Linked DNA regions of Lonchura striata. The protein of the gene in region 1 binds, or shares a complex with, the protein of each later gene. Links are inferred from orthologs where the notes say so. Each region holds a gene or a part of one and is shown in the gene's direction. Other genes may lie near its edges.

The links.
Region 2: the proteins of RPA1 (region 1) and ATRIP are in contact, whole or in part, in a crystal structure (PDB 7XV4), measured with the Homo sapiens proteins. The link is inferred for Lonchura striata from reciprocal best matches to the Homo sapiens genes RPA1 and ATRIP. Residues at the interface, in NP_002936.1 of Homo sapiens: Ile33, Thr34, Arg41, Arg43, Ser54, Met57, Thr86, Leu87, Lys88, Asp89, Arg91, Val93; in NP_569055.1 of Homo sapiens: Gly53, Asp54, Phe55, Thr56, Asp58, Asp59, Leu60, Glu62, Leu63, Asp64.
Region 3: the proteins of RPA1 (region 1) and ETAA1 are in contact, whole or in part, in a crystal structure (PDB 8JZV), measured with the Homo sapiens proteins. The link is inferred for Lonchura striata from reciprocal best matches to the Homo sapiens genes RPA1 and ETAA1. Residues at the interface, in NP_002936.1 of Homo sapiens: Arg31, Ile33, Thr34, Pro39, Arg41, Arg43, Ser54, Ser55, Met57, Asn85, Leu87, Arg91, Arg92, Val93, Ile95; in NP_061875.2 of Homo sapiens: Thr599, Trp600, Glu601, Ala602, Asp606, Asp607, Leu609, Leu610, Tyr611, Ala613, Cys614, Asp615.
Region 4: the proteins of RPA1 (region 1) and DNA2 are in contact, whole or in part, in a crystal structure (PDB 5EAY), measured with the Homo sapiens proteins. The link is inferred for Lonchura striata from reciprocal best matches to the Homo sapiens genes RPA1 and DNA2. Residues at the interface, in NP_002936.1 of Homo sapiens: Asn29, Ile30, Arg31, Ile33, Arg41, Arg43, Leu44, Leu45, Ser54, Ser55, Met57, Asn85, Leu87, Lys88, Arg91, Val93, Ile95; in NP_001073918.2 of Homo sapiens: Glu6, Leu7, Glu8, Leu10, Met11, Lys13, Ser14, Phe15, Trp16.

Annotation. Positions count from the first base shown.
Region 1 is NC_134622.1:6,993,558-7,001,537, forward strand, and holds the start of RPA1 (replication protein A 70 kDa DNA-binding subunit), read left to right. Parts: upstream 1-4,968; 5' UTR 4,969-5,046; coding exon 5,047-5,079; intron 5,080-5,355; coding exon 5,356-5,403; intron 5,404-5,672; coding exon 5,673-5,751; intron 5,752-6,271; coding exon 6,272-6,380; intron 6,381-7,197; coding exon 7,198-7,286; intron 7,287-7,980. Other genes in the region: protein-lysine N-methyltransferase SMYD4, read right to left, coding at 1-1, 289-424, 703-869, 1,118-1,300, 2,071-3,214, 3,512-3,601, 3,812-3,962, 4,579-4,709. UniProt on the Homo sapiens protein: As part of the heterotrimeric replication protein A complex (RPA/RP-A), binds and stabilizes single-stranded DNA intermediates that form during DNA replication or upon DNA stress.
Region 2 is NC_134614.1:7,102,905-7,109,788, forward strand, and holds the start of ATRIP (ATR-interacting protein), read left to right. Parts: upstream 1-3,871; 5' UTR 3,872-3,883; coding exon 3,884-4,160; intron 4,161-5,357; coding exon 5,358-5,443; intron 5,444-6,444; coding exon 6,445-6,615; intron 6,616-6,884. Other genes in the region: protein BTG1, read right to left, coding at 96-448, 574-691. UniProt on the Homo sapiens protein: Required for checkpoint signaling after DNA damage. Required for ATR expression, possibly by stabilizing the protein.
Region 3 is NC_134605.1:2,575,527-2,583,156, forward strand, and holds the start of ETAA1 (ewing's tumor-associated antigen 1), read left to right. Parts: upstream 1-4,622; coding exon 4,623-4,803; intron 4,804-6,331; coding exon 6,332-6,469; intron 6,470-6,725; coding exon 6,726-6,802; intron 6,803-7,630. UniProt on the Homo sapiens protein: Replication stress response protein that accumulates at DNA damage sites and promotes replication fork progression and integrity.
Region 4 is NC_134609.1:35,120,214-35,127,913, forward strand, and holds the start of DNA2 (DNA replication ATP-dependent helicase/nuclease DNA2), read left to right. Parts: upstream 1-4,697; 5' UTR 4,698-4,771; coding exon 4,772-4,782; intron 4,783-5,719; coding exon 5,720-5,899; intron 5,900-6,287; coding exon 6,288-6,471; intron 6,472-7,700. Other genes in the region: SLC25A16 (solute carrier family 25 member 16), read left to right, coding at 70-138, 1,697-1,853. UniProt on the Homo sapiens protein: Key enzyme involved in DNA replication and DNA repair in nucleus and mitochondrion.

The DNA of each region.
Region 1 (7,980 bases):
TCTATAAGAGAAAGTTATAAAATTCACCCTTCCACTATCCATGAAATAAACAAGGCCTGGGAATGCCCAACTCCACTGTTACCCTGATTTCTTTTTATTTAATTACTTTACTATGGAACAATATGTGACTTAGATTAACACCCAGATCAGGGGGTATAAAAAATCTAAAGCTGAAGTCCCCATGGACACCAGGCCACATGTCACAGCACCCCGATGGTATGAGCAACAGTGCCATCTCATGGTTCCTGTCCCAACCTCCTGACCTCAGGGCACAAAGCTGAGCCTTACCAGCCTTTCCGACTCTCAGCATGCCTAAACCTTTCTTGATTTGTTGCTGGAGGTCCTGTAAACGGCCAGACAAGTGATCTCTGCTGGCTGAGGTTGCACAAGCTTCATTTGAACAGCAAAGAGTGTCTTCTTCCCCCTGTGGAAATCACTTTTGTGATCATTCCTGCTCACATTCACCTCAAAGTTCACTCTCCATCTGCATTAGCTCTGGGTTATAGAGATGCTAAATTGTTCCTCACTTGTATTCATTAAACAAAGTGATTTTTTAAATAAATTGTTATCAGCTTATTTGATTTTATAAGAAACAGTGAGATACTGTCTTGACTCAATAGGGGCTTTTGGCTTCTGAGCAGGGATCAAAGTGAGGTCTTCACACCCCAATTAAGTTGCACAATCATAACTATGGAGAATTACCTGCATTTGGGCCTGGCATTTGGGACAGCAGAATGAATTTCTGATGGACACCACACTCTTGACACCAGACTCTAACTCCTCGAGGCACGCCGGGCAGCGACAATTGAAGAAATACTGGTTGAGAAGCTGCTGCCTCTCAGCAACCCTCATCCTACACCAGTGAGGCCCTGCAAAAGATATCTCTCACAAGTACAGTTCTTAATATCAGAATAAGTGGATTTTTGTTACAATTGAGACTAGGTATATTTTGAGGAGGACACAACTGGAGACTGAAAGTCTAACAGAGGGCTTAAGGGACAAAGACTCTGACATTAGATGAGAATTATATGAGAATTATGACATAAATAACCATCAGCTTGATAAGGGGAGGTGAATGACATCTGTGCCTTGAGACAAATGCAGAACTGGGGCTTACCATAGCAATGCAAAACCTCTTGGCCACTTGAGATTGGCTGTGATGCCCTGACAGTGGCAGCTGTCCCACTGAATGACACGCTGGTATTGGGGCAGCACGAGTGGTTCAGGAGGCTGAGGACAGGGAAGAAGGCTGTTGCCAGCCTCACAGGCTTCTTATCTACAACATCCCCATCTCCAGGCCCTGAAGACAGAGGAAAACCAAGCAGGTTGAGATTGAATACTCCCAAACCCACACAATTTCTGCAATGAGCCCCGTGACCGATCGCAGGCAGCAGCAGAAAGGTTCCTCGTATATTGCTGCAATAAATAATAGCTAAACACGTCTTGCATGTGCACCAAGGAACAGGCCAGCATGGGACAGGCCATTAAATTGTAAACAAATCATTTCCATCTGCAATGGGAGCTTTTTACAGCTGAGAATTTAATCTCTTCACACAAGAACATGGGCAAGGAGAGGACAAGATGGGCAAGGAGTCCTGGGCTCCTCAGGACAGGAAAGAGGAGCTACTGAGAGGGTCCAGTGGAGGCCACAGAGATGATGAGGGGTCTGGAGCATCTCTCTTATGAGGAGAGACTGAGGGAGCTGGGCTTGGCTAGTCTGGAGAAGACTGAGAAGGGTTCTCATCAATACATAAACAAATACAGGTGTCAGAGAATAGTGATGGACTCTTTTCTGTGGTGCCAGGATGAGGAGAACCAGCCACAGATTAAACAAGAAGCTCCACCTCAACATGAGGAAAAACATCTTTCCACTGAGGGTGGCAGAGCACTGGAACAGGCTGCCCAGGGAGGTCTGGAGACATTCCAAACCCACCTGGACCCACTCCTGTGTCACCTGCTCCAGGTGACCCTGCCTGGGCAGGGGATTTGGACTGAATCATCTTCAGAGGCTCCTTCCAACCCCAACCATTCTGTGACAACACAGTAGGGCTTCAATTTTTTTTATCTTACCCAACTCCTGCATTACAGTGATTGCTTGTGCATTACACTGCAGCTGCAACACGTGCCTCAGCATTGCTTCTGCCACAGTCTTCAGCTCTGGGGACAATTCACCTGAGGTGTTCTCACATGCCTTTAGTTTGGACCACTGCTGAGGCGATTCCTGACACAGCACAGCAGCCTCCAGGCCAGCTGCTTGCAGCTGTTTGCATATAGCTACCACACTGAGCAAGCAGAGGAACTTGTGCTCAGGGCTGTGCTGCTCAGTGTGGGGTAAAAGGTGGAACAGAGCTTGGTAAGAGCTCTGGTACTGACCACTGCTGTCACAACCAGGGACACCTCTGCTACCAGCTCCTGCATCTGCTGCCTCACCGAGAGGCTTGCAGCTTGCCTCAGGGCACTGCAGGCTCTTGTCCCCATGGTGGGACCATGCCACCAGCCTGCTAACCTCTGCAAATCCTGCCAGCAGGACAGTCCTCAAGGCCACGTGGCAGAAGACTCCCAGCGTGAGGAGCAGCGCTCCCAGGGAACACTCTGTCCTGTGGTACTGCTGCCATGCCACGTCTGCACAGTCCTGGCTGCAGTACTTGGCATAACTGCAGCCCTGGCAAGGCACCGAGGCCAGGAGCTGCCTCAGGCAGCGGTGGCAGTAAAGATCCGCGTTGGTGGCTCGAGTGTCCCACGCTGTGTCACCATCCTGCAGAGGAAGGCTCTCCCCAGGGCACAGCACGCTCACAAAGGCCTCCTCTTTCACCAGGCTCTGTCCTGGCACGATGTCCTGGGAGGCCAGCAAGTGACGTCCTCTCTCTGCATCAAAACCCAAGCTCAGGGATGAAGATGCACCTGAAATCCTGTTGTTCTCTTCCCAGATTTCTGGCTCCCCTTGAATGCCACCATGTGCTTCTTGTGCAGGCTCTGGACACCTCTCTTTCTCACCTAATTTAACCTTCAGCTGACTTAACTTTTTTAGCCGTGCCAGGTTTGTAGTCATGACACCATCCAGAGCAAATTTACTCTCCAGCACTCTGAGGCTCTCCTGTGCATCCTGTAACCTCCCCAGGCGCAGCAGACACTCAGCTTTCCGCAGCAGGACCTTGGGCAGCAGCCTGTCTGGATAGCCATGGCTTTCAGCCCTGGCAATATCTTCCAAACAAACCTAGGAACAAAGATAAGGCCTTTTCAGTGGGCTTGAAAACCAGCTTGTGCTCTTTCATTCCACCTAAGTCTCATGGAAGAATTCTGTGTGCTAATCAGCAAGTTCCACGTGCATAACCAACCTGCTGCCCAAATAAAGCATCCTGAAGTAGGGAAGTTGAGCTATGGATGCTTTAAGCACAGCATGGGAAGCACAGCATGGGAAGCACATCTGATCTACTGTTTCTTGTTCTAATAATCCAATCCTTCAGGGGCATCCAGGACATTGCAGGGTGGGTGCTGCCCTGGCCCCACTTACCTCAAAGTGTCCCAGGTGGAGGAGGGCGGCCGAGCGGTTGGCAAAGCACACGGACAACTCGGGGCTCCCGGGGAGCTCGTGGGATGCTGCCTGCAGAGACCAGAGAACTGCTGCTGCCTCGGGGGATCCCTCACAGGACCCTCTCAGCAGGGCATGCAGGATCCCCTTTTTGGGGATCCCCTCACCGGAGCTGCTCCTTGCCCCTCACCCTTCAACCATGAGGGGCTGCAGGAGCCTCTCTTGGGGATCCCCTCAGGGATGTGAAGGTGTTGTGGGTAGGACCCCCTCTGCCACACCTACCTTGGAGTAGAGCCTCAGGGCAGCCTGGTAGTGGCCCTGCTTGAATTCCTGGTTGCCCTGCTCCCGGTACCGGCTCGCAGCCTCTGGCTTCTTGTCCGTGGCTGCCCGGTGGCACAGCTGCACCAGGGCTGCCTCCTCCTCCTCCTTGGTCCTGTGGGACACGGGGGCAGCACGGAAGGATCAGTTTGGAGTTTCTGGTCCAGCCTCCCTGCTCAAGCAGGATGATCCTTGTGGCACTGTGTCCAGAGGGTTCTGGAGTATCTCCAGCGAGGGAGACTCCACACTCCGTCTGTGCCACGGCGGGGTCACTGCACAGGGAAGAAGCTCTTCCTCGTATCCTCAGAATCACACGATTAGGTTGGAAAAGACCTCTCAGGCGGTGACGATGCCAGGTTTGTCAGCACTGAATTCCATGTCCCATCTTTCCTTAAACACCTCCAGGGACAGCGACTTCACCTCCCTGGGCAGCCCATTCCAGCGTCTAACCACTCTCCCTGCGAAAAAATTCCTACTCGTGTCCAACCTAAACCTCTCAGGTGAATTTAACCCTTTATCTTCTTGTCCTATCGCCAGCAACCCGGGAGACAAGGCCGACCTCCAACCTGCTGCCAGGTAGAAAGGTGGAATTTTATCCAGATGGAATTTCCTGCCATTGCAGCGAGCGGAGCCTCCTCCATCCTTCGACACCCCCCTTTATTATTTATACGCATTACGAGATGCTCCATTCCCCGCTCCCCTCGCTGCCCATCCCCGGACCCGCGGCTCACCGGAGCAGATCGCAACCCAACCGCACCGCGTCGTGAAGCGAAGCCGCCGCCAGCCGCTCCCTCAGCGCCGAGTCCAGCGCGGCCCAGAGCCGGGCGGTGCGGCCGCGCCACTCCGCCACCGGCAGCGCCATCACTGCCACCACAGCCACCGCGCCACCGGCAGCGGCATCGCCACCACTGCCACCACTGCCGTCACTGCCATCACTGCCGTCACTGCCATCACTGCCACTGCGCCACAGGCGGCAGCGCCACCGCCGCCATGGCGGCGCCCAGCGGCATCCCCACACGGCTCACAGCGGTACTTCCGCCATACGGCGCCGGGCAGCCAATAGAAGCGCGTTCTGGCGGGTGGCGCACGGCGCGGCGGAGGCGGCGCCGGAAGGAGGCGCCGGAAGGAGGCGGTGGCGGCGGCGGCGGCGGGAGGATTTGGCGGCGGCGGCGGCGGGAGGATTTGGCGGCAGCGGCACCATGAGCGTGCGGCTGAGCGAAGGGGCCATCGCGGTGAGCGGCCCGGCGTGGGCTGGGGTGCACCTGCGCCTGGGCACGGTGCGAGGTGAAAGCCGGGCCTGGGCACCGCGCCCTGCCCGGTCCTGAGGGGAGAAGCAGGCCCGGAGCGGGGCCTGGTCCCGCGGGGGTTTCCTGGTCCGGCGGTGGCGGCCGCACCCGCGTCCCTGGCTTCTCCACGGCAGTTCCTCCTCAAACCCTTGGCTGTAGGTCGGGCGCGGGGTCTCAGATGTTCCTGTGGCGCTTTCCTGAGCGTCTCTTTCATTTCTGCAGGCCATAATGCAAGGGGAGGAAGTCTTCAAGCCCGTGCTTCAAGTCATCGTGAGTACTGTCCCTTCCCTCGGTGGCTGCTCTTGGAGTCCTGAGTGCAGCCAGACTTTCCTCTGCAAAGAAGCCGAGCAAGGCTGCTCTACTTTTAATTCTCTTAATTTTGTTTTACATTGCTTGGGCTATGAAGTTGATATTAGTGCTCAGAAAAGCCGAGTAGATAAGTCACTTGTTAATGTCGCTTTCTGGTTTTGAAAAGTTTCTGAAGAAATGTGAACTGACAGCCTGTTTTTTTGGTTTTTGTTTTTTTTTTTTCCCTGCAGAATACACGGGCTATTGCCACAGGAACTGGGCCCCCACGTTACCGAGTGCTGATGAGTGATGGGGTGAATACTCTCTCCTGTGAGTATGACAAGCTGCTGTGAGGTTTTTCTAAGTGTGGACATGCTACGGGTGATGAAGTTCCTACTCTGGTGACTTGGATGCAAAGTGCTGAAATAAACATTGAAGGAGAATGTGTTTTTTTCACTGGCCCACAGACTCTGAAGTGTGTAACTACGTTTTGTCCTTTAGGTGAAATGTCTGGCTTTTGGAACATTGTGAAATATGAACAATCAATTTGCTGCAGGATGTAATGAAAATACAGAAACCTATACATATAACATTAATTTAAAAGTAATTTAGCTTAACTTTCCTCTTAGTTCTTTGATATACAAGCGTTCTAGCTATCACTGCACTCTGAAGTGTGGGGAATGAATACAGCACACTTCATGGTCAGTTTTGGTGACTTCTTAGCAGTTGCACTGTTTTCTTTGTCAAGCTGTAGATCCAGTGCAATACTTGACTGGCTGAAAAAAGTGTGGCAGTCCCTTTTAAAGCTGTCATTGTGAATTATTTCAATACTTTCCTTCTGCTCCTGCAGCATTCATGTTGGCAACACAGCTGAACTCCCTGGTGGAAGAGGAACGCTTGTCAGCCCGGTGCATTTGCCAGGTTAACAGATTCATTGTCAACAGCCTGAAAGATGGAAGGTATTTGTGTTAATCTTTAAGTTCAGCCCTACAGAAAGGCAGCTGCATGAGTGTGTGCTTTGTGACTAAGCAGAGGCCAAGTGCTTTTGGTTGGGATTATCTGACAATACTCATGTTTTAGGGTGTGAGAGGGACAGTCCACAGCAGAAGGAAATTGCAGAATGTGACTAGTGAGATCAGATGTATCTGGTACAGTGATATAGTAATAAAAAATTTCCAGTTGCAATACTCCACCTCCAGCTGGAATACTCCAAATACTTGTACAAAGCTTCCTTAAAATTTTCTGCTGTTGAAAAGAAACAATAAAGGTATCTTGTTACTTAGGTGTTGTGGGATCTGGTCTTTTATTAAAATTTGAGGAAATAGGATAGGAGGAAAATTTGAGGGGATGGGTACTGCAAAGTGGGAAGGGATCCAGGTGAAACTATTACAGAAAAACTGTGTGTATGTCTATCAGGAGATGAACTAAGGTTTGTATTCTTTTTATTCTGAAGAGAAGACAGCAACTTTTGAAGCAGGGAATAAAAACCTGGTATGGTTTAGCTATTTTTAAAACACAGTGGTTTCCCAAGCTATTTTTGGTGCCTGTTCAGGCCTGCCCTTGATGCAGTGATATCAAGTATCCTTGATATTGTTTCAAGTTTACTTGTCCCTCAAGAGAGGGCTTAGTTGACAGTGGAAAGCTTTTGTCTCCCAGATCCATAATCCAAAGAATCAGCCTCTTAATGCTTGGTTTTCTCAGCTGCTGCAAAGGATATCCTGAGATGGGAGCTGCAGAGGGAGTGACAGTCTTTGTTTGTTGTCTGTTCTGTTGTAGGAGAGTGGTGATCCTGATGGATGTAACTGTCCTGCAAACTGCTGATCAGGTTGGTGGGCCTATTGGCAATCCCCAGCCATACAATGAGGGTGAGTAGCTGCAAGTAAACACTTTTCTGTCACCTCAGAGCCTTTCAGCTTCTCTCTTTCACCTGAAAAAAGCAGTCAGACACATTCAGGGATTTTTTTTTATGCTCCAGATCTTCAAAATCCTTTTTGTTTGTGTCATACAAACTGGGGTTTGTTGCTATTTTAATAAACTCTGCATCATGGCTGAAGCTTGAGTCTCTCCATGGTGTTTGGAGCATCCATACCTTATAACCTTGACAGGTTTTTATTGTAGTGAGTGGTCTCTACCTCGAGTTCCAGTAAGTAAGCGGAAGCGATTTTATGTCTCCTCATAATGAGGAATCAAATAGATTCTAATTTCTCCTGTCTGGAAAGAAACAGGAGGAGGAAGATGGAATAATGATCTGTAAAAGTCTAAGATGCCATGGAGGGGATGAATAAAGAATGATGAATCTCTCTCTCTCTTTTTTCTATGTTCATTTGATGCTCTTCAGCTCTTGTGTTGTCAGGCAGTGGTTGTAAAACAAAGGCTGCACCACACCCCTAAACTGCACAGTTAAATTATGGAACTTGTGGAGGTAGGTGCCAAAAATTGGCACAGATTCAAAAAGCAATTAGATGTGAAAGAGAAATCCATTAAAGGCTGTTAAACATAACAATACATCCTCTGCATGAATGTTAGGTGCAGGAAGCACTAAAACTTAGATTGTTCCAA
Region 2 (6,884 bases), on another chromosome or scaffold:
GGTGAAAAAATAATTAAAAACAAAAAAAGCTCAGCTATATCTGACTTTACTATGAGGTTGGGATACATACAACATCGTACAGGGAAGAGTTGTTTTTAACTAGAAACTGTCATCATGTTGTAACTCTTGGAAGGGCTGGATCTGCCAATTCTCCACTCCTCCTTGCAGCTGGTCCTGCTCTCCAGCTGTTTTGCCGCCTTCCCTCCAGGCTGGGGGCTTTCGTACAGCACACAGATAGACCCATCCTCACCTATGCGATAGGACACTTCGAAGGGGTCGACCCACAGCGTTAATTCGCTGGGTAAGAGCTGGAAGAGCCTCTCGTGGCTCAGTCCGATCATCCCCGCCGCCTTTCCTATCAAGGGGTCCATCTTATGGTTGATCCTGATGCAGCGGTAGCCGGAGCCCTTGGAGGGCACCAGGGGGAACCAGTGGTGCCTGTAGTGCTCTGCGGGAGGGAACAAAGAGGAGCTTCTGCGCGGGGCTGCGCTCCGCCGGACCCCGCAGGATGCGGGAGGGATGCAGGGCAAGGATGCAGGGGATGGAAAGAGGGGATGCCCCCCCGGTACTCACCGCGCATCGCCTCCTGCAGGCACTCGCGGAAGCACCGCAGCTGCTCCTCGCCGACCCCGCCGGCGGCCCGCAGGAGGCGGGTCACGAACGCGGCCGCTGTGGAGATCTCGGTCCTCATGTCCGCCCCGGCCCCGCTGCCAGCGCCGCCCGGCCGGGCCCGGCCCCCGCGGCCGGGGGCGGCTCCGCGCAACAGCCGCACGGCGCGGGCGGGACGGGGCGGGTTTGTTGTGCTGCCCATGGGGCGGGATCGGCGCGGACGTACGGGCGGCCCGGCACACGGGCGGCCCGGCCAGCCGGGCTGCGCTCGGGGCCCGGCACACGGGCGCGGCCCCGCCGCTCCTTCACCCCAACGGAGTTAACGGGTGCAACGCGCGGCTGCAACGCGCGGCCGCGCTCCCGGCCCGGCTCTGCCCCCACGGCTCTGCCCTCACCGCCACCCCAGGCCAGCGGCGGCTCCTCTCATCCCTCCATCAGCTCCATCGCAGCCGTATTCCAGGCAGACGGCGCCGTTGTCCTGCCTTGCTCCCTTTTCCCTCTCTTTTCTCAGGGCCCAATACAAGCACAGACTAAAACCCCCTCCATCTCAGACACGCAGCTCCGAGGTCATCCTTGACAGGCGGGTTTTCCTTTCCCTCGACCAGCAAAAGACAAAACTCTTGACATTTGCCCAAAACCCAGAATACTCCCCTCCTAACCGACTCTCAGGTCTGGATCAAGATGCTGTTTTATTATAACAAATTTTCACCGAAGTCCTATTTGCATTTTATTACCTCATACTTTAGGAATTAAGCTAAAAATTTAATCTCTGCTGGTACCTGGACTCATTCAGTCATCCACTTCAGTTTTGATTTACTCCGTGTTTTGAGAATTAGAACACAAAACATATTCACATCAATCTTCATTGAAATAAGAGACAAAGAAACGCTTGCACTGGAGTCACAGAATTATTACTAGCATTTAGAATAAACTTACCATTAGCAGCACTAAGAACTGTCCAAATCCACACATAAGTTATTAAGCTTAATGCTTAATTATGCTAAAGAGGTTTCTCCTTCCACAATGTATGTGCACCCAAATGAATAAATGCACAAATTCCCTATTACCCCAGTGATTTTACACTTAAGTCAGTAAAACAAGATACTGCTAAAGCCAGGACAGACATTAAGGGCCCTGGTTTTAACTTGCTCATGAGTAAACTAAAATAATGGTAATAGTAGAAAGCAGATGAGTTGTAGCTAAAAGTATTGCAAGAGTCAAATGGTAATGCTAAAACTGCTTACATGGATTGAGGCCTGACACCTGGATCCATTAGTCCTAAGTGGAATATTCAAATGAAACAAGAAATTCTGGCTACAAAAATTAAGAATGCCACAGTTGTCAGGTAGCTTCTAAACTCACGCTTTGCTTTCTTGTGTTCTCCTCAGGGAGTTTCAGATTTAAGACTCAGTGTAAGCAAGACAGAGAAAAATGAGAAATCAGCAAATATGTAACTGTGTTACTTTCATCCCCCTGCCCAAAAATTATTCCATGAGCAGCTGTATTTAAATAAAATTCTACATGTCAGACTTACTTTGTTGTTATTCTAATCCTCTGCAAGTCATTTTCTCTTTAGCAGGAACACCTGGAGTAGAGGAAAACGAAGTCAGTATCTTGGTTTATCTTGTTAAAAATAAAGCCTGTGCAAGTGTTCTACCATTCTATTTTTCCTCAGTTTCAGCTAGCAGAAGAGGAGAAAGTAAAACTGAAAGTATACCACTCAGACAATATACTATTATTTAAAAGGAGCAATAATAAAAAATAGTCATACTATCATAATCCTACTAATTTATTAAACAAAAATCCTAAACAAACAAACAACAAAAACACACAAACAAAAACAACCCAGAATTAAGAACAAGTAATGTCTAAATCCAGTTCCTTTTAGATTACTTAGATTAAGTTCTCAATATATGTCTCTTTAAACATAAGCAGCAGAAACAGAGCACGAGAAATTGCCAGGAGAGGTTTTAAACTAAACAAGAAATTTTGTTTTTATTCCATCTGTTCAAAGCATCTCTCTCTAAATATAAAAAGATGAAACCATTCTTAAAAGCAAGGAGAAACTTTATGGCAAGACTAGAAAGACAAGCATTATGTTACCATTCCCATTAGAGGGAGAAAAGCAATAATTCCAAACATAAATAATAGTACCTTCAGTGTTTTGAGCAACAAAAGCATTCACAATTCCCCCAGTTTGGTACATAATTGATAGAACAACTTCTTGGAGAAACAAAAATAAACCTTTAAGCAGCACCTCAAAGCTAAAGTGCTACAAGAGCACCTGCCCTCTGAGGCTGCCCCTTCTGCGTGCACCTGAGCTGAGCGGATGAGCTGTTCCCACCTGCTGATTCCACTGGGATCCCTGCTGCCACTTCAGCACAGCTGGGAGCGATGGCTCAGGGCTTGCTTTGGGCCCTACCGGCTCCTCACAGGCTGCTCATGCACTGCACGGAAAAAGAAAATTACCTCCAGTGATAACCCAATTTCCCTGCATGTCACGGGCAATAGCGAAATGAGCAAGAAAAATCAGAATTCTATAACACAATTGGAAATATGTCACACTAGCACAGTGGTTTTCACTTCAAAGACCATCAAGGGGTTTGTAAACTGATTTGTAGAAATGAAAAAAAATTGTAGCTGTGTTTTAAAAACGTGCTGTAAGACTATCGTCTGGTCTCCTCTTAAAAGGTTTATCAACATAGCTGTGGCCTCACACCACGTGAGTTATAGAGCTGGAAACTCTGTTTTTCAGTCCACATTTAAAAACGGGTCATATATGATTACAAAAGCAGGTTAACGCCAGTAATTTAACCATGAGGGTTTAGCACAGGACTTTAGCAAATACTGCACTTCCCTGACTCTCCTAGAGGTCCCAGTTTATCGAGGGCAGTCGTGTCTGTGGCTGCACAGGACGGGTCACAGCCGCCCTGCGGCTGCGGCGTGACGTCATCGTTCCCGGGATGAAGCCAGGTCTGACAGCAGCGGGACAACCCTCGCCGTGACGTCACCGTCCAGCCTGACGTAATCGCTCGAAAGCGTGACGTCAGCGCCTTCCCTCACAGCGCTGAGGGGACAATCCTTCCCGCCTCCGTCTCTCCCAATCAGCGAGGCGCTTGCATGTCGGCAGCTCGCGGCCAATCCTGGGAGCGCTTATAGCCGGCTCTGAAGCTGCCGCCACTCTATTGGCTGTGTGGGAAGGGCTGCCCGGCGGCGATTGGCGGGAGACGCGGCGCGCGAGGGGCGCGGCCGGGGCGGCCCCGCGGGTCCCGCCATGGCGGCGCTGCCCGGGCCGCGCAAGCGGAGCGGCTCCGCGCTCTGCGGGGAGAGCGGCGCTGCGGCCGCCCCGCCGGCTCTCCGGAACGTCCTGCCCCCGCACAAGCGCCCCAAGAGCGCCGCGACCGGGATCATGGACCCCTTCGGGGACAGCGATGACTTCACGGCGGACGACCTGGAGCAGATCGACATCCTGGCCTCGCAGGCGCTGTCGGAGGGTCCGCCCGCGGGACACGCGTGGGGAGCGCCGGAGCTGCCCCCGGGCGCGCGGCAAGGTCGGTGTGTCCCGGCGGCTGCCCCTCACTGCCCCGCTGCTGCCGAAGCGTTCGGTGTCCCTTTAGCAAGCACGGAATGGCTGGGTTGGCAGGGACCTCAAAGCCCACCCAGTGCCACCCCCTGCCACGGGCAGGAACCCCTTTCACTGTCCCAGGCTGCTCCAAGCCCCGGCCAGCCTGGCTTTGGATACTTCCAGGGATCCCGGGGCAGCCACAGCTGCTCTGGGCACCTGTGCCGGGTCCTCACCTCCCTCACAGGGAAGAATTTCTTCCTAATATCTAACCTAAATCTCTGTCAGCGTGAAGCCCCTTCCTATTGTTCTGTCACTAAAGGTTCTTGTAAATAAGACTTGCTCCATCTTTCTTGTAAGTTCCCTTAAGAGAATTAATTGATCCTGCCCGTTCCCCTGGCCACCAGCACCCGACGGTGGTACGCCCGGGGTCAGAGGGATGGCTGGCATTCAGAGGAATAACGAGGATAACAATCCCAGCAGGAGCACTGCATTGATCCCACAGCTCCAGCAGCCCTGCCTGGGGTGTGTGTCGTAATGCCAGCCTGGGACAGGGGTGCTGCATGTTAAACCTGCCAAATAAAAAACTCGAGTTTCCTAAACTTTCAACATGCTTTAGGTGTTATATTCTAGTAGCATGTTGGCTTTCAGATTTTCTTTCCCCTCTTATTTTCCACTAATAAATGCACAGCATGCCTTGTATTAACAGCTGACTTTCAGGTTTATTTTGAAAGAAACAAAAGCAGGGGTTTCTTCATAATGAACCTTAGAGACCTTAAGTAATCTAAGTATGTTTTAGCAACCCTGACATCTGTCACCAGGTGAGTTAAATTTTCAGTGAGCCCTTGTTTGTGCATTCACTAAAGTTATCTCAGAAGAAATGCTTGCTTTTGCTGTGGGTCATCTTGGTGGTTTAAGATACGAGATGATCTTTAAGGTCCCTTTCAACCCAAACCATTCTGTAATTAAAAATTTGAAGGGGCAGGGATTCTTCTGTTATAAGAATTGATGCACATGCACTAGCAAAATTCCTGTGGTGACTAGATGGGGCAGTTTACCTGTTTGTAATGACAGTAAAATACTAAGATATTCAGATGTATGCAATGACAAATAACAAAACTTGGTGTTAAGTCACCAGTGATGCACATTCATCATCTGTGCTTCAGATTTTGGCTTTTCCCTGCAGCAGGAAGCAGAGCAGAAGATGGTCTGATGAGAGATGCATTCCAGTTTGAAGTGCTGCAGACACAGCATGAAGAAGTTAAACGGAAGGTTGGCAATATCCTCCCTTCTCCTCTAAATATTACATTTTTGATAGGAACAACTGAAAGGTGGGATAAATCCAGTCCCAAGCATTTAATTCTAATCAAGGTGATCTAATTTTTGTAATCCAGGGGTGTATTAAAATACAATAATTGTACTAGAAACAGCTTCAGTAATACTAAAGAGTGAGAACAATATTTTATTTCTTGGTAATTTCAGATTAGCAAATGCTAATTTTTCAGTTTTATTTGTTCCCTATCAAATAATTTCTCTGCTTTATCAGCCAGAGTTGTTTTGTTTAACTTAAAAGGTTTGAGAAAGTGAGGTGACTTTCAAGTGGCTTTATGTTACGTTACCTTCCAGTGGTCATTTATGGAGAGATTCTCTGTTTCCCTTTCTCCATTCTCTGTATCTGTCCCAGCTCTATTATATCCACCTTTATCAGGGAATCTCCTACTTGTATACTGTATTAAATCTTAATATTTCAGTTGTAGAGAAGTGTCTTTCTGATCTTTTCTTCTTGCTTTTCTGAGTAACTTCTTTATTATCCTCAAAGTCTTGTCTCTGAGTGGTAGTGGCTGCTCAGGAAATGTTAGAGACTCAATGTCATGAAGATTCTCTCTGGGGGTGGTACCTTCTCTTAGAGTGCTTGTTGGCTGTCCTGATGGATGTAGTAGTGTAATTAAATTATCACTGTTATCATCCAAACAATGAATTAATTATTGATGTGTGTGACTAGAACACTTTTTTTTTAAAAATCCAAAGCATAATTGCAGAGGAGGGGAAAGATAAGGATAATCTTGTAATTTTGAATTATGTTAAAGAAAACAGTAGCTGAGCCTGATTTAATCAGGGAAAAATTCGAGGTAATGTGTAGAATTTCTGAGCTAGGTTACCAGGAGCATTTTTCTTCCTAGGAATTACAAATACACCTAATTTTCAACCACATATTGATGCAAATGCATACTTTTGGCTATATCCATCCTTTAATGTAACTCCTCTGTTTGCAGCTGAAAGAAATGCAGGATGAAATTCTCACTAAAAATGGAGAAATTAAAATTCTGCGTGACTCAATGCAGCAGATGGAGTATGCTATGGAAGAACAGAAAAGATCATACCTGCTACTGGAAGAACAGAAATCTCAGATTTTAAGTGAAAAAGAAAAAGAGTTCTCCAAAAAGGTTTGTAAATTTGTCAGTTACCTGCAGATCACTTGCAGAAGCTGATTTATGACTTAAAGATGTCACAGACCATTTAGTCAAAGGAACAACATTTGTGTGAAATTTCCACAATGCTTGCTTTTATTTTCTTACCTAGAAGAAAGTATTTGTAAGAACTTGTTGAAGGTTTTCCCCTGCCAAAATAAAGTAGTGAAACTCAGGTGGTAGAGGTTTTCATTTACGTACTGCTTTTTTGAAGCCATCCTGAGAACATTGCAATTGGAATGTAT
Region 3 (7,630 bases), on another chromosome or scaffold:
CCCTCAGTGCCCACCTGCAATCCCTGAGCTTTGCTGAGCCTCCCTCTGCAGAAACACACAGACAAATTGCTACTTACGTGTTACTCACTGCTCCTTCCTTAGCAGAAAACATCTTTTAAAGTACCATATCATTGTACTGAGTTGTAGATTTTGCACCCATACCATTTTAAAAACAGATTAACCAAGGGAAATATGCCTGGGAGAATTTGTTTCTTCACCTGGTCTCAAAATGAATAAACATATTTTCATTGGAGATAAATTATGAAAGTGTGTGTGTGGTTTGCTTCCTTCATTTGCAGTGCTTAAAAAGAAATTAATTTCCAAATTAAAATGTAGTTTGGGAACAAAAAAGCCCAAGACAGCTCACTTTGAAAATATCACAGAGCATTCAAAAACATACTAGAAAAAAAAGAGCAAATTAATTAATTTTTCATATTAATTTCATTATTTATAATAATTTCCATGCTCTCATAAATCTTGATATTTTCACTGAAATCACTATTATTGATTTTCCCTTTTCCCCAGTCCTAACAAGAATGAAAGATTAACTATAATGTAGTCACTTCCCTTTCTTTGTTTTATGTATGCAATATATTAGGTATTTTGAAAAACTCACTAATGAGACATACTCTGTCCATGACAAAAATCCTCACTTAAAAGTTCTGTGTTCAAAAGAGTTTAAAAATGAGCCTTTTTCAGTCCTATTTTCAATGAATTCATTACACCAGTGTGAAATTCTTAGGAAACTTCTAAGATGTGCCAGATTTATTTAATTTCATTTTAGATTTTGTCTCATAATATAAAGCGAAAAGTTCTCAGGCAGTTTATACTGCTATTAAAAACTGGAACTTTATTATTCATTCAATCTCCTGAATTATTTATCCCTTTTGATTTGAAAGTAGGACTCCCAACTGGAGCGCTAGGAGTCTGCTGCAAGTCCCTGGAACACATCCTCACCACAATTAGCCATTGATCAGCTGCTCATGCCACACCAAGGGAATGCAAAAACTCCCTCCTCCTTGAGGCTAAACCCTCCAACATCACAGCCTTCTAACACTACATTCCTTAATAAACATTATCAGCTTAGAGTTGAGTTCTTGAGCTGCAGTGGCACACACACACTTTTATTCATTAGGAAAGTGGGATTTCTTTCCCATTATGAACCTGTTTAGCTTATCTGCACATGCATATTATTTTGGGTTTTGCCTCTTTTGGTAACATATTGATGCAACAAGATCTCGCATGCAGAACGAAATGCATGTTAAATATGCTTCTATTTTTTTCCCCAAAATGCTTTCACTGCATGAGTAAAACCTAAAAAATGTGTGAAAGACCTGTGGCAAATATTCACATTTTCTGAATGGGGTTAGTGAACAAAGAGCTCAGAAAAAGGAAGAAATCAAAGGAGGCACTGCAAAATGACAGATGTTACTTAATTTTAATTACTGATGACAGTATTTCAGATTATGCTTGTTAACAGAAAGAAACACAAAGGCAGATCACTGTACAGTACCCAGCTGCTAATAGGCTGCTGGAAAGTGGTAGGAGACATCAAGATTTAGCAGTACTTTCTAGTAAGTGTGTCCATTTCAATGTTTTGCATTCCCTCAAGATGTATCTGCTGTTAATGTACAAAGTTTCTTCCCAGTATCTATTCCAACCATAAATAAGCAGCAGGTACCTTACATAGTGCCTAGTGCATGGTGTGCAGGAAAGACATTTTTAATTACTATATTGAAACCAGCAATGAAAAATATCCTGCACAGCCTTGCCACACTTGGTGCTGATGTACAGATCTACCCACACTGGTATGATTACAAGGCAGTAGCGATGTTCAGATATCTATGATGGATTTTGAAGACTCATTCTTTACTCTTTTTCAGTCCTCTTTGTAGTTTAAAGTCCACTTGATACTTTACAGGTCGGGCAAAAACAAGGTAACTACTCAAATGTCACAAGTTTCTGTGCTTGCTATAAATTTGCCACATATATGATACAGTTACTCTGTTTAATACATAGTACCTAATGGTTTTTTTTACTTGTTAAAAAGTGTTCTATTGGCTTTAATTACACCCATGAGAATGGAGAAGTGAAAAAACATATTTTTTGCCTGAGGCCTCAGGTGAAAAGAAGAGGTTTCATGGCTCAGGGAATTTATCTTTAGTGACTTCAAAACTTCTTACTCCTGATCCACCCTGAAACCCACTGCTTACATGTTACAAATTAAGAATGATCCCAAAGTACTCCAAATCAATTAAATGAAAAGCAAAAAAAAAAAAAAAAAAATAGTACAGAGTAGTTCACTCCTATATGCTGAATAAATATGTTTGTATATTTATTTTTAGAGGCTCAGGGAGGAAATATTCACATTGTTACATAACATATACATATGTTTGCATTTATATTGCTTAAAATAATGATGTAACCTCACAGGAAACCCATGTTAATTTATCTCCCAATTTTAGATTCTGTAAGTGAATCTTCACCAGCATCAACTGCCTCACTGGGATGAAATTATTTATGTCTGCTGGGTTTCACAGACTCAATTAGATTGGAAAACTCGTCTGAGACCATTGAGTCCAACCTATGACCAACATGTCAACTAGACCACAGCACTAAGTGCCACAACCAGACTTTCCTTAAACATCTACAGGGACTGTGACTCCCTGGGCAGCCCATTCTAATGCAGAACCACTCTTCCTGTGAAAAAATTACTCCTGATGTCCAACCTAAACCTCCCCTGGCACAGCTTCATGCAATTTCCTCTCATCTTGCTGCTGGGAGAAGAGATAGACCACCATGGTTACAATGTCCTTTCAGGGAGCTCTAGAGAGTAAGTAGGTCACCCCCAAGCATCCTCTTCTCCAGGCACAACATCCCCAGCTCCATCACCTGCTCCTTGTAAGAACTGTTTCCTCCACTCTTCACCGGTTTCATTGCCTTGCTCTGGACTTGCTGCAGCACCTCCATGTCCTTCCTGAATTGGAGCGTCCAGAACTGGACACAGCAGTTGAGGTGCAGCTGCATCAGTGCCAAGTAGAGGGGAAGAATCACTTCCCTGTTCCTGCTGGTCACACTGTTCCTGATACAGGCCAGGATGCTACAGGCTTCCTTGGCCACCTGGGCACATGCTGCTCATGTCCAGCTGCTGGTAGCTGCTACCTTCACATCCTTTTGCTGCATTTGCCAACTTCCAGCCACTCATCGCCCATCGTGTATCACTGAATGGGGCTGTTCTGGCCAAAGAGCAGAACCCCTTGTTGAACCTCATATTCTTGGTCTTGGCCCATCAATCCAGTCTGTCAGAGATCCTTCTGCAGAGCCTTCCAGCCCTCCAGCGCAACAACATTCCCACCCAGCAGGGTGTCATCCCACAGTTTGCTACTGGGTAAATTCAAGGCACCTCAGGCCAAGCAAAGTCCCGCAGGAGGGCACACCCTGCCCCTCTGCCCTGCTGAGCATCGCCCTTCCCCAGCTCCGGCGGCAGCAGGGCTTCACCGCCCCACGGCGGCGGCAGCGCCGGGCGGGGGGAGCCGGCAGCGCCTCACGGCACCGGGACCCGGGCAGAGCCTCACGGGCAGAGGATCCGGGCAGCGCCTCACGGGCACCGGGACCCGGGCAGAGCCTCACGGGCAGAGGATCCGGGCAGCCCTCACGGGCACCGGGACCCGGCAGCGCCTCACGGGCACCGGGACCCGGGCAGCGCCTCACGGGCACCGGGACCCGGGCAGCCCTCACAGGCACCGGGACCCGGGCAGCCCTCACGGGCAGAGGGACCCCGGCAGCCCTCACAGGCACCGGGACCCGGGCAGCGCCTCACGGGCAGAGGGACCCGGGCAGCCCTCACGGGCACCGGGACCCGGGCAGCCCTCACGGGCAGAGGGACCCCGGCAGCCCTCACGGGCGGCTGAACCCGGGCAGCCCTCACGGGCAGAGGGACCCGGGCAGCCCTCACGGGCGGCTGAACCCGGCAGCGCCTCACGGGCAGAGGGACCCGGGCAGCCCTCACAGGCACCGGGACCCGGGCAGCCCTCACGGGCAGAGGGACCCCGGCAGCCCTCACAGGCACCGGGACCCGGGCAGCGCCTCACGGGCAGAGGGACCCGGGCAGCCCTCACAGGCACCGGGACCCGGGCAGCGCCTCACGGGCAGAGGGACCCGGGCAGCCCTCACGGGCAGAGGGACCCGGGCAGCCCTCACAGGCACCGGGACCCGGGCAGCCCTCACGGGCAGAGGGACCCGGGCAGCCCTCACAGGCACCGGGACCCGGGCAGCCCTCACGGGCAGAGGGACCCCGGCAGCCCTCACAGGCACCGGGACCCGGGCAGCCCTCACGGGCACCGGGACCCGGGCAGCCCTCACGGGCGGCTGAACCCGGGCAGCCCTCACGGGCACCGGGACCCCGGCAGCCCTCACGTACGGCTGAACCCGGCAGCGCCTCACGGGCGGCGGGGCGGGGCCGCAGTTCTCCGCCGCGTCCGCCCGCCCGCCCCGCAGCGCGGGGCCAATGGCCGCTGGAGGCGCCGCGGCGGCGGCCAATCGGCGGCGGCCTGGCGAGCCGCCCGGCAAAATGGCGGCGCCGCCGGTGGCGGGACGGGCGCGGTGCTGCCGCAGCGGCCGCCATGCCCGGTAGCCGGCGGAGGGGGCTGTCCCTCGGGCCCGCCGCCCTGAGGAGGCGCAGCGGCGGCGAGGAGCAGCGGGCGCGGCGGCGGGCGGAGCTCCCCGCGGAGGAGGGGCCGGTGGAAGGCGGCGCGGGCCGAGGCCTGCCCGCCGGGGAGGCGGCGTGCTCGCCCCGCGCTGCAGGTACGGCGGGAGCGGCCCCCGGGGGCCCCGGGCCTGCCCGCCGTGTCTCGGACCGCGGGGGAGGCGCGGCCGAGCCGTGAGGAGGGGTTGGTGCGCTGTAAATCTCCGCTCGGCCCCTGGGAAGGAAGGGCTGTTGCTGTGGAGAGCAGGTTGAGCCAGCGTGCCCCGGGCAGGCCAGTGGTACCTGGCGTGCGGCGAGAAGAGCATTGCCCGCAGGTCAAGGCAGCTGTGCCTGCTCCTCTGCTCAGCCCTGCTGAGGCCACATTTGGGATACTGTGACCTGTTCTGGGCCCCTCAGGACAAGAGACATGCAGCTCCTGGAACAGGTCCATCAGACAGCTACAAAGTTGGTTAGTGGTTTGGAGAATGTCTTCTACGAGGAAAGGCTGAGGGAGTTTGGTCTGTTTAGCATCGCGAAAAAAAACAGAGGGTACACATCAATGTGTATAAATATCCAAAGGGAGGGTGCCAAGTTCTGCTCTAAATATAAATATCCAAACACCAGGTTCTGATCAGTGGTGCTGAGCAGTAGCACAAGAAACAAGCAGAAACTGATGCACAGGAAATTCCACCTGAACATGAGGAAGAACCTCTGTGCTGTACAGTGACCCTACACTGGAGTGGGTTGCCCAGAGACAGTGTGGAGTTTCCCTCGCTGGAGATATTCCACAACCATCTGGGCACAATCCCGTGGCCTGTGCTCTGGGATGACCCTGCTTGAGGAGGGAGGTTGGACAAGGTGACCCAGTGTGCTCCCTTCCAACCTGACCTATTCTGTGATTCCCACAGCAAATACTGAGAACTAACCGAGGAGAGGATAAAACCACTATGGCCATGCTAGGCACTTCAGGGCAAAACATCCTCTAAGATGTTCCTCCCGTAGTGATAGCATCTTTTAAATTATTTCTGTAGGCTTCCACATCCACAGCATCATTTCTAAAGGGCAGGGGTGACTAGCTGAGTTTCACATAGTGTGTTTAGTTCACTTACTGATCAAAGGCAGCTGCAAGCAGGTTTGAATAGCTATATTCCTGCTTTTAATAGTCCTAGCTGGAAGGGCTCAGTGGAGGAAATACAGACAAATGTAGGTTATGACCCAGAGTGGTTTGGATGCCCATTAAAAAAGTAGTTCAGCTCAGAGTCTGGGTGAAAGACACAAAGCAAGCAAGAATACAAAATCTTCTCTCATAGAGGTATACATAATTTTTCTCTTAATAGAAGATTAAGTCAGTGTTCTCTCAAGTGTAAGAACTGACATCATTACAATCAGTTCCTGGGTGCAAAGGTGTCAGTATCATGTAATTTTCTCTAATCTCTGTGGGGATTTAATTGGCAGAGTCCTGTATTTAATGTCTAGTTATGAACAGTATTCCTGTTGTGAGTAAAGCAATTCTGGTGTGTGTGAACTTGATTTTTATTCTTGATGTTCCCAAAGCATTTTCTTTTGCCTTGACGTGTTCTGTATTCTAAGTGATTTTTGCCTTTTATTTGTTGTTTTTTAATAAAGGTCCTCTTTGTTTTTACACAGAGCCATGTTTACATAAGACACCAAAGAGATCATTGAGTAGGAAATCCCGAATACCTACTTTCAGCTCTCCTATTAATGACACTGAGACACAGCAAGAAATCTTTTGGGATTCTCATTCACCAATTGCACACAGATTAGGTAATACCAAAATCCAAACTGCAGGACACTTGTTTGAGTGCGAGTGTAGCAAAAGTTATAAATGGTTCCTTGGAAGAAGGTTCTTTTCTCTTACAACGGTTGTTTGATTTTACTTTCGTTATAAACCTATAAATTCTTCAGTACAGCACTGAATCAATCTCCGATGTTTACAGGCCTATTTGAGTTATTTGAGATGTACTGCACTTCACAAACTGGATAGATTTCAAAATTTTAAGAAGTTTGTTTTTTTTCATAGGCAATGGAAAAAGCAAGCAGTCTACCAGTAGATGTGCAGTAGAAATTTCGGAAATCGTTAATCGTATTGCTCCTCAGGTAATTGTGTAATTGTAACTTTCTAAAACAATGCTCTGCATGTGTAGTAATAAAAAGGGAATAGTGCTTAAGTTTTAGCCTTGGTTTTAGTTACAGTAGTGTCATGGTAAGAGTTTGGCATGTAGAAAACTAGTTTATAGAATGGGATTGAATTAAAACAGTCAGCATAGCATTTACTGATTGTTGTGTGAGTCACAGATGCTGTAAAAAAGGACACATGAAGAAACTTGCAGCAGCTGTATTTTAGAAAGGTTTACTTTCAGAATACAAGGTTTACTGCCCTTGGTCTTAAGAATACTGTTTTTTTAATCCTTAATTACTCATCTGTTAAAAGGTAAGACTTTCTTCAAATACTGGATTTATTTGGCAGTTGTTTTTAAGCATTTTGAACGGTCTTGATTGACTGCTGATTTACAAGAACATGACTGAGATGAGAGATATTTTGCAATAATATAAACATAGTAACCTTGCTTCAATACTATAAATAATTTTCCTCTTTACCCCAGTATCTGCCCTTTCCCTCTTGCCATGAACCTGATGTCCACAGCTCAGAAAGTCGAAACCAAAGTGCTGTTGCATTTTAAGTACAAGAAGAAAACATGTAATTCCTAAAATAGATGCGTAGTATTTAGCTTGCAAAACATGCCTGCTTTTTTGACAGGGCTGTTTAAAATATATTTACTGTTCAGCATATTTGTGAGAAATTATACTAAAAGAAAAAATCATTGATAAGGGATATCATTGCATACCTTTAAAATTATTACAGTTCTGCCACGAATGTAATCTGCTGCTTATGTTTTTATTTTTTTAAACAAAAATAAATTTCAA
Region 4 (7,700 bases), on another chromosome or scaffold:
TTGTTTAGACAACATTGCAACAGTTGTCACACATCTGCTGGAGCTGCTCTTTCAATGTCTTCTGTGTAGATATCCCCTGGATGTAACTCGGAGGCGAATGCAGTTAGGAGCAGTTCTCCCAGACTCTGAAAAGTGCCTGTAAGTATTTCCTTTTCATCTGTACTGAGTTTTTGGATGTCTGAGCTAAGTTCAGTTCTTAATTTTAAACTTTAAAAGAAAGCAACTACCATAAGAAAACAACTACCCCTACCCCCTGAACTACTGTGCTGTTGATTTTTTCATTCTTTTAATAAAGATGTTTCCCCGCAGACAAAAGCTACCATTTTCAACCTGGGATTAAAAAAATACCTGAAATAATATGGCACCCTTGTTAGTAATCCTGTATCTCTACTAGTAAAATAGTTTTTTGTATTTTAAGGCAACTTGTACTACCTTTAATACCAGCAAGATCTTTAAAAAGAGACTGAATGCTTCTACTGAAATTTACTAATTTCAGAGTGTATTTTAATGGTGCAGATTCTGTTCCTTGAGATCATTTTGCATAATACAATTTTATTTGAGCTTTTTTTTGCACTTACAGTAGTCTCCCACACCCTACACATTGTTGAGGTTCCTCCACTAGAAGTGGAAGCACCATAATAACTTAAAAATCCTAATAGTATTAAATCAGGTCTCATCTTGAGAAACTTTCTGAATTTCAAATTGTCTCAATCAATTTCAATTCTTGGACAGCTTTCTCTTGGTTAGTTTCCATCTTGTGGAATTGTGTGTGCCTGAATCCAATGCAGTTCACTGTGAACCTCCTGTGTGGAAGGTTGGATCCTACCGAGAGCAGCCTGAGTGACCTTTCACAAACAACCTTGATATTGCTTAACTGTGAAGTGTGAAGGTTCTGTTCTGTTTTCTTTACTAGCTTTTTTTTTTTTTTTTTGGTTGTGTTATTTTCCACTCCTGATGATTTTAAAAGAAAAATGTGTTCATTGTTCTTTTTACTTTTCGCATTTGTGAGGACTGCTTTTACAGACCTGAGGCTTCCCCATTTAACAATTTTGATGTGACCATATAGAGGGATGTGCTCTGAAGGAGAGACACAGGCCTGTCTTTAGAGGATGAGAGGATAAAGCAAGCAGGAAGTGTCAAAGCTTTGGAACATATGGAAGATGCTCTCCAAGAGCACTGTCTTCAATAGCATGGAAATACCAAGCACTTCAAGTGCTTTCTATTTCATATCTTCTTGGTTTCAATACAAGTATGTGAAGAAAGTTCTCTTTGCACATACAGTTCAATTTCTGCTTTTAAAAAGGTAAAATACTATATACTCAGGTTATTAATTGTAAATGGAATTTATGCTTTTCTGCTCTTTTCCTGCCAGTTAGGCAAGACAGTGTGTGGAGCTGTTCTGGTGTAAAATACTGTAATATGTCTTGTAGGGCAGGTGTTTTCAGGCCAACACTATTTTAGCTGGGACTGCACCATCCTCTTTCCAATTCCCAGTCCTTGGGCCCAAATTTGTTGCAGAAGTCCAGGTTGTCTTTTTAGTCAGATGTGGCTTTTTAGTCATACGTGGCTTTGCTGTGTGGAATGCCATGGGTTTTTCTGCATGGATCTCTTAAAACCCAAGTAAAAAGTATCTTATATTTAAAGAACATGATTTTGATACTGAAGATGTGTATCCACAAATGATTTCTTTTTCTAGTACCATGGTGCAGACACTGAAATATGTGTATCAACAACACGGAGTACGAAGAGGACTGTACCGTGGGCTATCCTTGAATTACATTCGCTGTATTCCTTCCCAGGCCGTGGCTTTCACCACTTACGAACTTATGAAACAATTCTTGCACCTCAACTGATTCTTTCTTTTAGAAGACTTTTCTGTAAAACTACACTATCAATCCTCAAATGATATTGATGAATAAATGACTTGAAGTTTAAAAAAAAAAAGCTTTCTGTTACTGTGGACCTGCTGTTGTCTGACATCTTTATTTGCCAAAATGTGGTTAGTTTCCTGGAGTCCAAACCAGGTGACACATTAAAATAAACATTAGCTAGATCTAAACACTTTTTTTTGTACTTGATCTTTTAGGCTTCATTAGATGAATATTAGGAATGACACAGTTTTGGAGGTGACACCCACGTTTTATACAGGTTCCAAGCTGTTATTATTTAGCTGTAGCACCATTCCAGGAGTTAGATGCTGCTGATTATGCTGCTTTTGAAGCTAGTAATTAGGCATGTTGTTCTTTAAAAATTAAATGGAATAAACTGATTTGAACATAATGCAATGATTTTGGCATTCAGATTCTTGCTAGGTCTGTAGAAGCTGAACTTGGCAGAGCACACTTTAAGCAGCCTTTTATTCTTGCTCTGTACAAATTTTCCATATGCAAGAACAGATTGCTGCCCAGGAAAGTATCTTCAGCCATTTCAGCTAGAACCAGCAAGATGTATTTAGCAGTATTAGCTATCTTGCAATTTGGAAACCAGTTCCTTGGGGTACATTCTATTCTAAGAAAATGCTGTACTACACAAATAAAAGCAGGGGGATTTTACAGGGATGAGTGCTAGAAAAGATGTCCTTGTGGCAGGTAGGGCCTAATCTTAGAGAACTTTTCTGTGGAGCTGCATGTCTTGGTTTGCTTTGTTCAAGGCTGAGTATGTTATGTACTTCCCAGTACTAGCTGGTGTAAACTACCTTAAACCATGGTGCCAAAGAAGACTGCATGTTGCTGTTTAGGCATATAGACCACATGCAACCTCACACAGAAAAGAAAATTAAGATTGTATTGGCTCCGTAGGTATGTGTATGTACTGTTCCTGAAGTCATGGTATGCAGTAGATTATTGCATGTTTGCCTCCTCCTGTAATTCCTTTTCTGGAAGGAATTATTTTATACATGATTTGCATTGGTACTCTTGATTTTACTCACTTGATTCAGGAAACTATAAAACATTTACTTCATGTAAGTTATTTATTTATTGTACATATTTTAGTGTCTTCTAAGAATTGGCAAGGGTTATATTAAGTGGTGGATGGTAAGACTGATTTGCTTAATTTTGACAAATTTAACAAACTGGATTTTCAGTTGTTTGTTCAGTACCAACTTATGTGGCTCAATTTTCCCCCCAGTTTCTTTAAAGTATGTATTTATTTGAAATTTACAGTATAGCAATGAATACAGAGAACGAAATGTATCAGGATATATTTTATTAAAATTTTTGAACTAATATCTTTGTGTGATTTGTGTGTGTTGCAGCCAGGAGGGATACATGTTTCTGGAATGATCTGTTTGCCCTAATAGGCACAGCATTGTAATTCTCAATTAAGTGACAACAAATATGCTTTTTCATCTGATCTTTAGTTTCACATAAAGGAAAGCTAGCCAATATCACAGTGAACTTTTACATTTTAAAGTTCTTGCAGTAGAGATAAATCCACTGTATTAGGAAAACTAAAGTGTCTTTCTTTTTTCTACATTGTTTTGCTATGTGAGCAGATAAGCCACTTGTTTTTCATGTGTATACTGTTAGGGACTATTAAGTTAAGAGTTTTACATCTTAATTCTACTACCAGGGATGTATTTGAGGCATGTCATGATAAGTTAAGCAGTTTTAAGGCAGAATAAAGCAGAACCCAGCATGTTTATGCCTGAGAGGAAGAGAACATAAAAAGTATCTCCTAAATTCTTGTGTCTGGTATTGAATGTGAAAAACATACCTACTTGATGGAACTGTGCTGTATTTTCAGAATTAGGTTTTTCAAAATAAAATTTAACAGTGTATGAAAGTATTTTAATATTGATTCCTGAATTTACAGTTATATGTGGAGAATGCTGATGGATCTTTAAACGGCAAACATTTTTCACAATCTCTGATTTCAGAACACTTGTGTCCAACTTTCTCCCTAGAGACTCCCCAGACTGATTGCATGGCAGATAACTTCAAAAAAGATATTTCAAGCATATTTTGTACTTCATAAACCTGTTCTGTTGAAATATGTATTTTCTGGTGTATGGGAGATAGATAGGCAGCATCCAAGACTACAGTACAAAGGTTTAGCAAGTGTTCAAAACATTTATATAATCTCAATATCACGCCACATCATGACTGCATTTAATATTATCAACAAGGAACTAATAAGTTATAATTAAGCTTCTGTTAGAGAATAATGTTGCAGTGGGAAGCAGCATTAATGTAATTTACTGCATATATTTCAGGACTATCCCAAATAAAACTGAAACGGCTAACCTAAGAATGTTCTCACCTTTTAAAATTCGTCAATTTGAACTCGATTCTTCTGTTGGGATGTCTAGCCATGGGCCAAAGCTGTCATTTCTGCAGCAGAGTGAAACCTGTGTATCCGAAACGTCAGTGCCACCTCAGAAAGCCAGAGACCACACCTTTCTGAGGGGAAAGGCTGGACTCTCGGGCTCAGATTGGCCCATAAGTGAATTGGGAGCGGAAGGCACGTCTAATATGGCCCTGTGCCACCGCACCAGTGGCGGCAGTGGGGCCGGGTGCGCCTCAGCGCCCTCAGCGCCCTCAGCGCCGCTTCGCGCCTCCGGCTCGCGCGCGTGGGAACCGCCCCCTCCGCCGCCTCCCATTGGCCGCGCGGGGCGCGCCGGGCGGGGCTGGCGGAGCGCGCGGCGGCGCTGCGGGGGCGCTGGGTGCGCTGAGTGCGGGCCGGGCCGAGCCGGGCCGAGCCGAGCCGAACCGAGCCGAACCGAGCCGGGCCAGGCCGGACCGAGCCGAGCGCCGCACGGGACCTGCCCATGGCCGAGCGGTAGTGGCAGAATGCGGGGAGCCACAGCGGGGCGGAGACGGCCGGGAGCGCGGGGTTTGAACTTGCAAACCGCTCCCGGCTCCGGGCGCGGGAAGGCGGGATGGGGTCTGAGGCCTTCCTCGGCCTGGGGAGCGCTCGGGGCTGCCGGGATAGCGGGTGAGGGGGAGCCGCCGGGATGGATGGTGAGCGGGAGCCGCCGGGATGGATGGTGAGTTGGAGCCGCCGGGATGGATGGTGAGTTGGAGCCGCCGGGATGGATGGTGAGTTGGAGCCGGCGGGATGGATGGTGAGTTGGAGCCGGCGGGATGGATGGTGAGGGGGAGCCGCCGGGATGGATGGTGGGCGGGAGCCGCCGGGATGGATGGTGAGTTGGAGCCGCCGGGATGGATGGTGAGGGGGAGCCGCGCTGCCTCGGGTGTTCGCGCTGGGCACGGCGCCGCGGGGCCCTGGCGTTCGCTGTGCCCCGATCGCTCCCCAGGCATCACTCGGGACAGGAGAGCGCTGGTTTGGCCGCTCTGTCTCATGGTTTGGCTATTGGAAACTTAACCTTCAGTATGAGTTTTCTAAACAACTCAAGGTCATGGGTAAAACGTACCGCTCCGTGCTCGAGGTGTTTGTGTGGCTGTGGGAATTCATGCGCGCAGGGAGATAAAAGCTTTCTCACAAGCACAGTGTTTGCAGTACAGTTATAATTAGTTTACTAGTGCTTATGGATATGTGGACCCAAAAATGTAATAAATAGCAAACTGCTTAATATTTATAGAGATTTCTTACTCTTTACCTGTACAGAACTGAAAAAAAAAAAACCCAAACAAAATATTTATAAAAATTGAAGGGGAGTAAAATTTGGTTTATGGTTGAAGCTATCTCTCTTTTTGTATGTAGGTCGGCTATTTTCAAAGAGTACAGTATTCTTTGTAATTAGGTGTTCCTTCAGTTTTCAGAAGAAAGTGTCTGACCTACCTCATACGATCCTGAAGAATGGGCTGAACAACAGATACCGAGTGCTGGAGGTCAGCGTAATACAGAGAAATGGAAGTGACCCTGAGAAACACTTGACAATTACAGCCTCCCCCTCACTGGAAGATACAGAACTGTGCATCCTTAGGAGTGGCTGGTAATCCACACAGATACATAGATGTTTGAAAAGAGAATGAAATATTGGATTATTAACTAAATTTTGTTTGTGTTGTCTGTGAGTTGAGTTTTACGGCCTTAAAAGTGATATGGGATCCTGAAAGAACCTTTGTTTAATGTGATATTATCAGTATGCTAGCATAATGGATATCATCTTGAGAGGCCTGATGTTGAGTAGGCATTGCTACCTTGCAGTTTTGTCATTGTAAAAATGCCTTTATTCACTTTCAGGATTTCTTTAAGTCAACTTCTTAAAAGAACCCAACCCAGCATTTCAAAGAATGTTGAATCTGCTCTGTTAATGTGTAAGAAAATACGTTGTGTCTGTTATTTGCAAACATTGGTTGTATGGGTGTATTGCCTTGCAGGGAGTCTGTCCCGGTGGTTCCAGGGGACATTGTTCATTTGGAAGGGGAGTGCAGCTCTGGCACCTGGGTCATCAGTGCCCAGAGTGGATACCTGGTCCTGTACCCAGACCTGCTGCTCTCGGGCACCACCATCTCCAGCAGTATCCGCTGCATGAGGAGGGCAGTGCTGAGTGAGCGCTTCAGGGTGAGTGCTGATTCCACACTGCCAGTGATTTACTGTTCCACTCACACCGGTGGCCTAGCCCAGTGTTAAATCTGGCTGTTAGAAATGTCCTAATTAGCAATTCATAATGTTTGCAACATAGAATAATTTAGGGTGGAAGCTGTCTTTGGTTGAACTTCTCTTGTTTTTTTGAGACTTGCATCTGAAATAATGCAGTACTCTTAAAACGGCTACTGGTCTAAAGAACTGGGCTTTCCACTTATAATTCTGATAATTTTTTTTATAATCTCTTGCTGCATTTTGTGTGGATATGAATCCTTTGTGAGGGATTTGCCTGTTGCCATCCATAAGAAAATATAACCACACTTTGCCAAATTAACAGCTTCTGAAAAATTTAGTTAATTCAGTTAATTGGTGTGGGCTGACTCTGGAGTCTGAATTCAGCTGCTTGATCTTGGAAAGAGGCAAAGTGTCTTGTAGTATCCTTGCTGATACATGTGAAATATGCTGATAAATAGGGAAGCAACAGCTGCCAGTTTCAGCTGATGAAAACTTCCAGACATGGTAGGAATATAAATCCAAATGAATAAGGAAATTTTAATAGAGTGGTAAACAGCCTGGCTGGGAACCTGTGACTGGAACAAGAAAATTAAGTACAGGAGATTAAGACTATGAAATGGTCTTCAACCTTCTATTAGAGGAGTAAGGGGGATAAAATGATTGTTGAGTCAATGCACAGGGTCCTGACTGGGATAACACCATCCACTTGTTGTGAGTGAAGTTCACTGGTCTGTAAGAGATCCATAATACCACAGTGTTTAGGTTTTCAGCTATTTGGTAGTGACTTTCAGTTTTTGTGAGTCTCCAGAGCCCAGCCCTTCTGATGGGTTTCTGAGCCATGTTGGTGATACATGGAATGATTTTGCTGTGAGCTGGTAACAGACAGGAAACTGCTTCGTGCAAGAAATCTGTGTAAGATTGTAAAGATTGTGTTTGCATTAGGAAACGCCTGCAGGCAAAACTTTCTCAAAGTTTTGTTTTAATCTGTGCCTTTGTTTCTCACCTGCCAATCACATAGAGATTGCATCCCGACATTGTCAGGGTTGGGATAGGAGACCCACTTCAGTTCAGCTGCTCTCACAGGCAGGTTTGGCTAGATAACCATTAGTGAGGTGAAAGCTGTCATGATCTTATAGTTAAATAAGTGTAGGTCTTGATGTGCAGCAAATATTGCAGAGAAATTTGGCAGA